Linked DNA regions of Macaca mulatta. The main gene of each other region encodes a partner of the protein of the gene in region 2 in a complex. Links are inferred from orthologs where the notes say so. Each region holds a gene or a part of one and is shown on either strand. Other genes may lie near its edges.

Evidence for each region.
Region 1: the proteins of IRGQ (region 2) and GABARAPL2 are in contact, whole or in part, in a crystal structure (PDB 8Q6Q), measured with the Homo sapiens proteins. The link is inferred for Macaca mulatta from reciprocal best matches to the Homo sapiens genes IRGQ and GABARAPL2. Residues at the interface, in NP_001007562.1 of Homo sapiens: Asp7, Thr9, Leu11, Pro47, Leu49, Phe57, Pro70, Trp71, Glu74, Pro181, Ala182, Gln183, Asp184, Gly185, Phe186, Glu187, Val188, Leu189; in NP_009216.1 of Homo sapiens: Ser10, Glu12, His13, Cys15, Val16, Glu17, Ala19, Lys20, Ile21, Ala23, Lys24, Tyr25, Arg28, Pro30, Lys46, Lys48, Tyr49, Leu50, Val51, Pro52, Phe60, Ile63, Arg67, Phe104.

The regions. Positions count from the first base shown.
Region 1 is NC_133425.1:70,918,645-70,923,142, reverse strand, and holds the start of GABARAPL2 (gamma-aminobutyric acid receptor-associated protein-like 2), read right to left. Parts: upstream 2,824-4,498; 5' UTR 2,700-2,823; coding exon 2,666-2,699; intron 2,336-2,665; coding exon 2,280-2,335; coding exon of another isoform or gene 2,222-2,279; intron 1,171-2,221; coding exon of another isoform or gene 1,146-1,170; coding exon 973-1,145; intron 1-972. UniProt on the Homo sapiens protein: Ubiquitin-like modifier involved in intra-Golgi traffic. Modulates intra-Golgi transport through coupling between NSF activity and SNAREs activation. It first stimulates the ATPase activity of NSF which in turn stimulates the association with GOSR1.
Region 2 is NC_133424.1:56,010,151-56,014,693, reverse strand, and holds the start of IRGQ (immunity-related GTPase family Q protein), read left to right. Parts: upstream 1-1,704; 5' UTR 1,705-1,745; intron 1,746-2,388; 5' UTR 2,389-2,390; coding exon 2,391-2,920; intron 2,921-4,353; coding exon 4,354-4,543. Other genes in the region: ZNF576 (zinc finger protein 576), read right to left, coding at 542-626. UniProt on the Homo sapiens protein: Autophagy receptor that specifically promotes clearance of misfolded MHC class I molecules by targeting them to the lysosome for degradation.

The DNA.
Region 1 (4,498 bases), on a different chromosome or scaffold from region 2:
GTAAGTAACTGGAATTTGGCAGAGGCCTCTTCTGGAGACTTCAAGGATTTTCAACAGGAACCTATGTGGGCAACATTGGGCTAGTTTCCAGGGCTTCTGAAAGCCTTCACTTTTAGAAGTATTACTTCTGGGGGTGGTATATGAAACCTACATTGGGTCACTAAGATAAGATGTGGCCAGGAACTCACACTCAGGGGAGAGGTGGGGGCCAGAATCTGGATCAGGGCCTAAAACTACCCACTCAGTAATGGGAAAGGACTGACTAGGATGTCAGACGGAGCCCCTCCATTTTCCTCTTTCCACAGGGGACTAAAGCTGGGCTATCAAATACACAGAAAAGGGGAATTCTAATGCCTCTGCCTACATTCAGGCCACAAGTTACAGTCCCAAAGATTGCTTCCAGGCAGCACAATAGTCTGACAGTCAAAGCAGGTGCTACCAAGGGAGGTATGAGTCTATAAAAAGACTTCAGAGCCCTTTACTGTGCAGCAGTCATTTTGTCAGACTTGAGGATCAGGCAACTATAGACACTTACAATGTCAAAGAGTTGACCAAGTTTGGAAGCAAGCAAACTGGATGATTAACTGAGTGAGCCTCAGCAGGGCCCACAGGCTCCCAGTGGAGGAGCGTGCCAGGACTGCCTTCGGGAAAGAAAACCTCATTTCAGGCCTCAGTTCTACCTATAGCTTAAGCCTAAATAAGTTCTCAACTGTTTTAAAAGATTCTTGGAGATGTTAGGCTGAGTTTCATCATTTTTTTTAAAGTCCAGGCCTTGTTCTATTTTGTGAATCCAAAATGCACTCTTATGTATTGCAGCCATTATTTTCCTGGAGCCCCTGATGTCAGGGAGCACAAAATACAGATTTCTAGTCAGGACCCCTAAGAGTTTTCAGACTTCCAAAGGTTTGGAGTTTCATAAGCAGCCAACCAGATGTCTAATACCAGAGGGCCCATCTAGTAAACACCTCTCACCTGGACTGTGGGACTGTCTTATCCACAAACAGGAAGATCGCCTTTTCAGAAGGAAGCTGGATCCTTTTCCTGATGATCCACATGAACTGAGCCACAGTGATATCAGATGGAACCAAGTACTTCCGTTTGTCAATGTCAACAATCTGAGAGCCTGAGACCTTTTCCACAATCACCTGGGAAAGTAAAGAGAGGTCAGGACTGCGTTTCCTAAAGGGAGGCTCTGGCCTCACATGGCTGAGGAGCTGACGAACAGAGTGTGGGCAAGGAGGTGGGTGGGAAACTGCATAGCAGGAGAAAATATGTCTTTGGCTTAATAAACCACACGCTCTGGAGGTTAAGAATTGATATAAATGTGTTATAGGGAAACGGTAAGTGCTTTTCTGTGGTCAATTATGTAAGAGAAATGCAGCCCTTACTACTAAGCTTTTCCACATTTTATCTGGGCAGACCTAAGAGTATCTGGGGAGGATTTCATCCATGGTCCGTTACTCTAGGACCCCAGAATGGATCCACCTTCACACTACAAGAAACACTACTGTGTTCCCAAGGAACACAGGAGACAAGAACGGATGGACTAATGGGAATGCCTGGAATTTCAGCCAGTCAAGAACCAAGCTCTTCATTTGGCCTGTTGCTCCTCTCTGAACAAGTTTCAAATCCGTCCCTCCTACTCCTTTCCTGAGACGAATTATTCACAAGCAAAGAGCTACAATAACAGGCCTTAATGTCCATTAAAAATTAATAAGGATTACAAAACTGTCTCCCCAACCATGAAAGAAATATAACATCATATTTATTATTGACTAAGAAGAAAACATGGCAGAAGGGTTTTCAGCGCTTTTCACATTATTTTGGTCAGGCAAGGATGACAGGGTCAAGGTGAGGTAACGGAGCTAGAAGTTAGGTAAAGATGGAGGCTCAAAGTAAAAGATGAACGTCCTGAGACTCAAGTACCACTTCCAAGACCAAAGTGACAGTCTCGCTCCACCACCATTCCCAAAAGTGGCAGTGACCTGTTGCCCTGTCCTAGAACATCGTTCCTTACATAATTGGCCAGGGAGCCCCGAGGCTGCAGACGGCTCGCTGGCCTAGATCGGGAGATTCAGCACTGAGGCACCCTGAACAGCACCAGCCCGAGCCCCTCACACCCCGGCCCTGGAACGCCTCATCCCGGTCTGGCCTGTCAGTTACTATTAACTGGGACTGGAATCTCAACTTGTCAACTGTTGAATGGCCTGGGGCCTATTACGGGTCCCAGACGACAGAGGTGACAGCGAGGTGAGGGGGCGGAGAGTCCAAACACTCACCGGAACCCTGTCGGGATATTTCGCTCGAATCTTCGCGGACTCCACGCATCTGTGTTCTGTGGGAGAAACAAACAGGGCTGACGGCTGCGCCTGCCCCCCGGTCGGTTTCCGGCCCCCGGCCCTCCTCCTCCTGCGCCCTGCGCACAGCCCAGGCCCTGGTTCCGGCGTCCCTGCGGCCGCGGTCCTGTCCCCTACTGCTCCCAGCAGGGCCCGCGGAGGGTGACACGGGGTCAGGAGGCGGCTGCCCCAGGCACCAGGGCCTGGGCGACTCGAGACCGGAGCAGGGCATCCGCCCCACTCCACCCGAACCAGGGCCGCCACAGTGGGGGAGGGGGCCCACCCGCCGCCCCGGCCACCAGCAGCCCGGCCGACGGCCAAGTGCTTACCCAGCGAGTGGTCCTCCTTGAACATCCACTTCATGGCGGCGGCGGGAAAGGGACGGAACCGGCTCTCGGAGCCGCGGAGCTCAGCGCACCGACCACAACAACAACGACGGCAGCAGCGGTAGCGACGGCGGCGACTACACGGCAGGCGGGACTTCCGGCTGTCGGAGCCTAGCAACCGGTCGGGGGCGGGGCTTCCGGCGCTATTTGCCAGGACGCCGCGCCAAGGGGCCGGGCCGCAAGTAAAGGGGCGGGGCAGCGGATGGCCCCCTCGGAGGATCCTAGGCTACGGAGGTGATGAAGTTGGTTACGGGGACATCTGTGAGCAGCATCTGCGACCCCAGGAAGGAATGTTCGGGGAACTGGTGACAGGAGTGGGGTCTCGGGAGCGTTGGTGGCGGGAAACGTCTGGCTGATAGTGTAGGGCTCTTACTGAGGGCTGTTTGGGGGTGTGGCTGATAGTTGAGAGCGCTTAGAGCGGTTCATAGGGAAAGTCTGAATGGGGAATTGGTGACAAGAACGGTCTTTAGGGGTAAGAATGACATGAGGGGTTTCTAGTGCTTGGCGATAACAAAGGAGCTGTTTAGGGCGTTGAAAGTTGGGGAGTATTGCTCGGAGGGGTGACAGATTGGGGGCTCAGTATGGTAGGGGTGGTGTTTGAGGACACTGTAGGAGGTGGCACTGAGGACAACCCGGAGGTACAGTATTAGGGACAGCTGTAATAGGTTGCCTTGGACCTAGAAATTGAATTTAAACAAATCCCATTTTCTTGCTTTATTCGTGAATAAATATTTGAATAAACATTTACGAAAAGGTATCACAAATGCACATTTGAGGCGGGGCGCGGTAGCTCACGCCTGTAATCCCAACACTTTGGGAGGCCGACGCGGGTGGATCACCTGAGGTCAGGAATTGGAGACCAACCTGGCCAACGTAGTGAAACCCCAAAAATTAGCCAGGCATGGTGGCGGGCGCCTGTAGTCCCAGCTCCTCGGGAGGCTGAGGCAGGAGAATCATTTGAACCACAGAGGTGGAGGTTGCAGTGAGCCAAGATCACACCACTGCACTCCAGCCTGGGCAACAGAGCAAGACTCTGCCTCAAAAAAAAAAAAATGCACATTTGAGGAGTGTAACATCACTGATCACAGACCCCTTAATCTTAGCTGGCAGAGGAGTTAGAGGTGACTGTCAGATTCGGAGAATTCCCCTGAGAGCTGGTCATGAGATGGTTTTCCTCGTTTGGCTGTGGAAGTGGTTTAGCAATCACAGCCTGAGCTATGTGTGTGTCACCTGCCCGGACATATGCTTTGAGATTCTCCAGTCAGTGACGTAATGCCTTTTTTCCAAGCAGAGTCATCAAGGCAGTCTGGTGTGGGTCACCATCTGTTTATAAGCTGCTGAACATGTAGCAAGAATGTTCACTTAATTGGACACATGAACTCTGCCACGTGCTTGTGATTCTGATGCACCTGTAAAGCCTGTATGTTTGAACATGGTAGTTCATCATTTCCTACACTGGAAATTCCTGATTGATGCTGTGGAATCTAGCTTCATTCTAAAAGTATTTTTGTTATTTTAAAACTGTGTGTCTGAGCAACTAGAACAGTTTTTTTGTTTGCTTCTTTGTTTTTGTTTTTGTTTTTTGAGACAGAGTCTTGCTCTGTCACCCAGGCTGGAGTTCAGTGGCACAATCTCAGCTCACTACAGTCTGCCTCCTGGGTTCAAGCGATTCTCCTGCCTCAGCCTCCCGAGTAACTGGGACTACAGGGACTCACCACCACACCCAGCTAATTTTTGTATTTTTGGTAGAGATGGGGTTTTGCCCTGTTGGCCAGG
Region 2 (4,543 bases):
AAAATCGTTCATAATATGAGAATAAGTACACCTAGCTCATAATAAAACAGCAGGAGGTGTTGCTATTACATGGCAAACTGGCTACCATCATTAACCCCTGGCTTTCCCCTTTGCTGCAGTTAATCCCATAACCACCCTGTGAGGTGGATAGTGCCACCCTCTTTTGACAGTCAGGGAAACCAAGGCTCAAGTTACACTGAAAGTCTAGGACACAGGTGGGACCAGAATCTTGGGGCTTTTCTCCCAATAGAACCATTCCCAGCCACGTCTCCAACCCAAGCCTCTCTTGGAAGCCACCCTATCCCTCTGAATGCATAAGCGTTGCAATCCTGCTTATGTGGCCAGAGGAGGGTGAGTACTCTGGCCACATAAGCCGGTGTGAGGAGATGCACTTCCTGCTAGGGCAGCTCAGGGACCATTACAGCCCCTTCTCAACAGGCAAAACTCTGTGGCGCCTTGGACACTGAAGTGCCACAGAGATCTTCTTAGCATCAGCTCCTGCACCCCGCCCTCCTCTAGCCAGCCAGCCATGTGTACTCACAGATGTTGCCTCCTGGGCTCTGGGGACTTCTCTCCTTGGGTGAATCCTGCTGCTTCATGTTCTCTTCAGAGTTCGGGTCCTCCATGGTGCTGGGACCCTTCTAGTCAGGAGAGGAGCGTGCATGAGTGAAGCTGTTCATCTGTTACCAGTCTTAGAGGGCACCCTAAGTCTATGACCTTTGACATCGCCATAGGCTCTCCTTGCCTGCTTTTGACCCTTACGACATACTATCTCCTTGAACTCTAATTGATGGAGTTCTTGCTAAGAGAAGCTTCAAACCTCCCAAAAGACTTCCTGGGTTTGGGACTCAAGAGTCTTTTCACTGGTGTGACCTATGACCTGCTGCATCAAACTAACTCCCTGAACTCAGCGTGGGAGTCTTGATCTTTGACACCAGCGTCATCCCAGTCTCAAGTATCTTGGGGCAGGTAGTGATACCCACCCTTTATTCCAGTTCTTCCCGGGAAACATCCTCTGACATCCTGTGATTTTTGTTCCGCCCAGAGCCCCCGCCTCCCACGCGCACTAGCAGCTGCTATCCCGCTACCCTCAAGCGCTGCCTACAGGTTCCTGCTCCCAGGCCTCAGTTTTCCTCCGTACAGCAGAGGGCTGCCTTTCGCTGCGCCTGTCAGTCGCTAGCTACAGCCCCGCCACCCAGAGAGAAGTGGGATAGCCCACTCAGTCTCAGGGCCCCCGTGGTTTCCGCGCCCTTTTGCCAGATGAGCCTCTCGGAGCCGAGATCCCGGATTTGGCATCCGGCAGTAGTATAGTCGCACCAGTCCGGTCCTCAAAATAACGGGAGGGGTCCTTCTCTGCACTATGGTGCGTTATGATGACGTTCACCCTCCCGCGGCGTAGGTACCGAAGCTTTTTGCGCAAGTCTGGGTAGGTGCTCGTGGTGCGCAGGCGCGTTGACTCCTTCATTGTTCGAGGCCCCGAGGCCGCCGAACAGGGGCGTGAGCACTTCGGCCGTTCTGCGCAGGCGCTGCGAAGGGCTAGGTCTCTGCGGTAGCGCTTCCAAGACACACCCCCTTGGAAGAGGGAGTGACGTCAGGTTAAAGCTACTGGGACGCGTCCCGGCATCTTTAAATCACCGCGCCCTGGCCTCTTCGGCCTCCGTCCGCTGCGGCCGAGGGGTCGGGCTTCTCAGTTGCTGACCCACCGCCACCGACTGCGCTCATCCCGTGGGTCTGCTTTTTGCTCGGTTTGTGATGTGGAAGGGGGAAGGGGAAGGATAAAAATAACAATGCGTCCGAGGGAGGAGGGACTGGAAGCCAGATTTCTGAGGTTTTATTTTTATTTATTTATTTTTGAGAGAGTGTCTTGCTCTGTCGCCTGGGCTGGAGTGCGGTGGTGTGATCACTGCCCACTGCAGCCTGCAACTCCTGGGCTCAAGCGATCCTACCGCCGCAGCCTTCCGGGTAGCTGGGGCTACCGGCGCACGCCACCATGGCCCGGCTAAATTTTATTTTTTGTGGAGACGGAGACTCTACCAGAGAGTCCCACATGTTGGCCAGGCTGGTCTCGAATTCCTGGCCTCAAGCGATCCTCCCGCCTCGGCCTCCCAAAGCACTGGGATTACAGGCATGAGCCACCGCGCCTGATTTCAGAGTTTTTGAAGCAGAAAGGGAAACGTTTCCATCTAGAAAGAGGGCGGACAGACAGGGCGCCTGGAATCCCTGGGGAATAGGGTCTGGGCTCTGGATTTTTTAGGTCCTGGAGAGAGACACTCAAGAACCGAAGGGGACCGGGGGGAGGACTGAGGCCTTTGTTCCGAGTGGGGCGGCTAGGAAAGGAAAAGGCTAGGTGCTCCCTGACCCAGGTCTTCTCCACCCGTTGCTTTCCAGCCATGCCTCCGCCGCAGGGTGACGTGACCGCCTTGTTCCTGGGGCCTCCTGGCTTGGGGAAGTCCGCGCTGATCGCGGCGCTGTGCGACAAGGATGTGGAGACGCTCGAGGCCCCCGAGGGACGGCCGGACTCCGGGGTTCCCAGCCTAAGAGCTGCGGGCCCAGGCCTTTTTCTGGGCGAGCTGAGCTGCCCACCTGCAACGCCGGGGCCCTGGGCGGCTGAAGCCAACGTGCTGGTACTGGTGCTGCCCGGACCCGAGGGGAACGGGGAACCCTTGGCTGCAGCCCTGGGAGAGGCAGCGCGGGCCGCCCTGGCCCGAGGGACCCCGCTACTGGCTGTGCGGAACCTCCGTCCTGGGGATTCACAGACTGCGGCCCAGGCCCGTGATCAGACAGCAGCTCTGCTGAACAGCGCGGGGTTGGGAGCTGCGGATCTGTTTGTGCTACCGGCGAACTGCGGCAGCAGCGACGGCTGCGAGGAGCTAGAGCGCCTCCGGGCGGCGCTGCAGAGCCAGGCAGAAGCGCTGCGGAGGTGAGTGCTTTCTGGCTTGGTCCCTTAGTTGAGACCCTGCACACCTAGGTCCTATTTGAGATCCATGAGATCCCTTCCCCAGTGAGTTTGGGGCAAAAGCTTAGCTCTATTATTATTATTTTTTTCCCAAGGGACAGGGTCTCGCTACGTTGACTAGGTTGAATTTGAACTCCTGGCCTTAAGCAATAATCCCGCCTCAGCTTCCCAAAGTGCTAGGATTACAGGCGTGAACCACCACACCCGGCCTTTTTTTTTTTTTGAGACAGGGTCTCACTCTATCGCCCAGGCTGGAGTGCAGTGCTGCTATCCTAGCTCACTGAGGGCCTCCACCTCCTGGACTCAAATGATCCTCCTGCCTCAGCCTCCAGAGTAGCTAATAGGACAGGCTGCAAAACAGGATCTCACTGTTTCCCCAGGCTGGTCTTAAATTCTTGGCCTCAAGCCATGCCCCCACCCAGGCTTCCCAAAGCCCTAGGATTAAAAGGGAAAATCTTAACACTTTATCTGCTGGGGCCCTGAGGCTCCTTTTTCTAGGCCCTGCCCCAAGCAAGGTGATCCGCCCTCCCTGGCCTCCCAAAGTGCTGGGATTATAGGCGTGAGGCACTTTGCCCAGCCCCCTGGAAGATTTTACCTGAAAACTCTAATCCTTGAGCCCTCCCCACCATCAGTTTGGTTTTCAAGTGACCTAAAGCCACACCAGCAATGAGGATCTTGGGGCATCCTCATCCACCTCCTTTCTCCAGCTCCCTCTCGTTTCTGTGCCCACTTGCTGGCTACCTCCTGAATTTGCTCTACCACCTGCCAGCCTCCTCATTTTACAGACTTTAAAATGAGGCTCAGAGAGGGACAGTCCCTTGTCCTAGTACACTATCATCTTTTTTCCTTAGCCTCACCTGGTGGGGAGTCACCTTAGCCACTCCCCCTTGGTAAGAACTAGTAGATGAAATTTCTCCCCTCACTGACCCTCCTTAGGCCCAGCCTCTGAAAAGAGTGCCTTGGCGACCTTGTCTGTCTCAAATAGTGCTGGACTTGTGTTTAGGCCACAATACAGTTGCGATTCTTTGTTCTAGGCCCCACCTTCTCTGAGTTTTGTCCCACCCAGCACAGCCGACCCTTGGAAAAGCCCCGCCCCCAAATACTGTATTCCATGGAAGTCTTAGCCCAATCCCCATTTTAGGCTAGAGTGGGAAACCTGCCCTTAAGTCCACCTGTTCAATAATCAAGACTCCATTATTGCTTGAAGCCCCGCCCATATCATCATGGCCCCTCCCCATCTGGTTTCTGTTTGCCTTGCCGTCAGTCTGGCCTTTCCCTTTCCTATCCCTGCCCCATTCTGGGATCATTAGGAAAGCTCCGCCCTTGTCATTCATAGCCCAGTCCATGTCACCCAGCCCCTCTTCTGCCTTTGACCCTGACCCTTCTTGTCCCCACAGGCTCCTGCCCCCGGCCCAGGATGGCTTCGAGGTGCTGGGTGCAGCAGAGCTGGAGGCTGTGCGTGAGGCCTTTGAGACCGGCGGCCTGGAGGCTGCGCTGTCGTGGGTGCGCTCAGGCCTGGAGCGCCTGGGCAGCGCACGGCTAGACTTGGCCGTGGCCGGCAAGGCTGACGTGGGCCTTGTGGTGGAC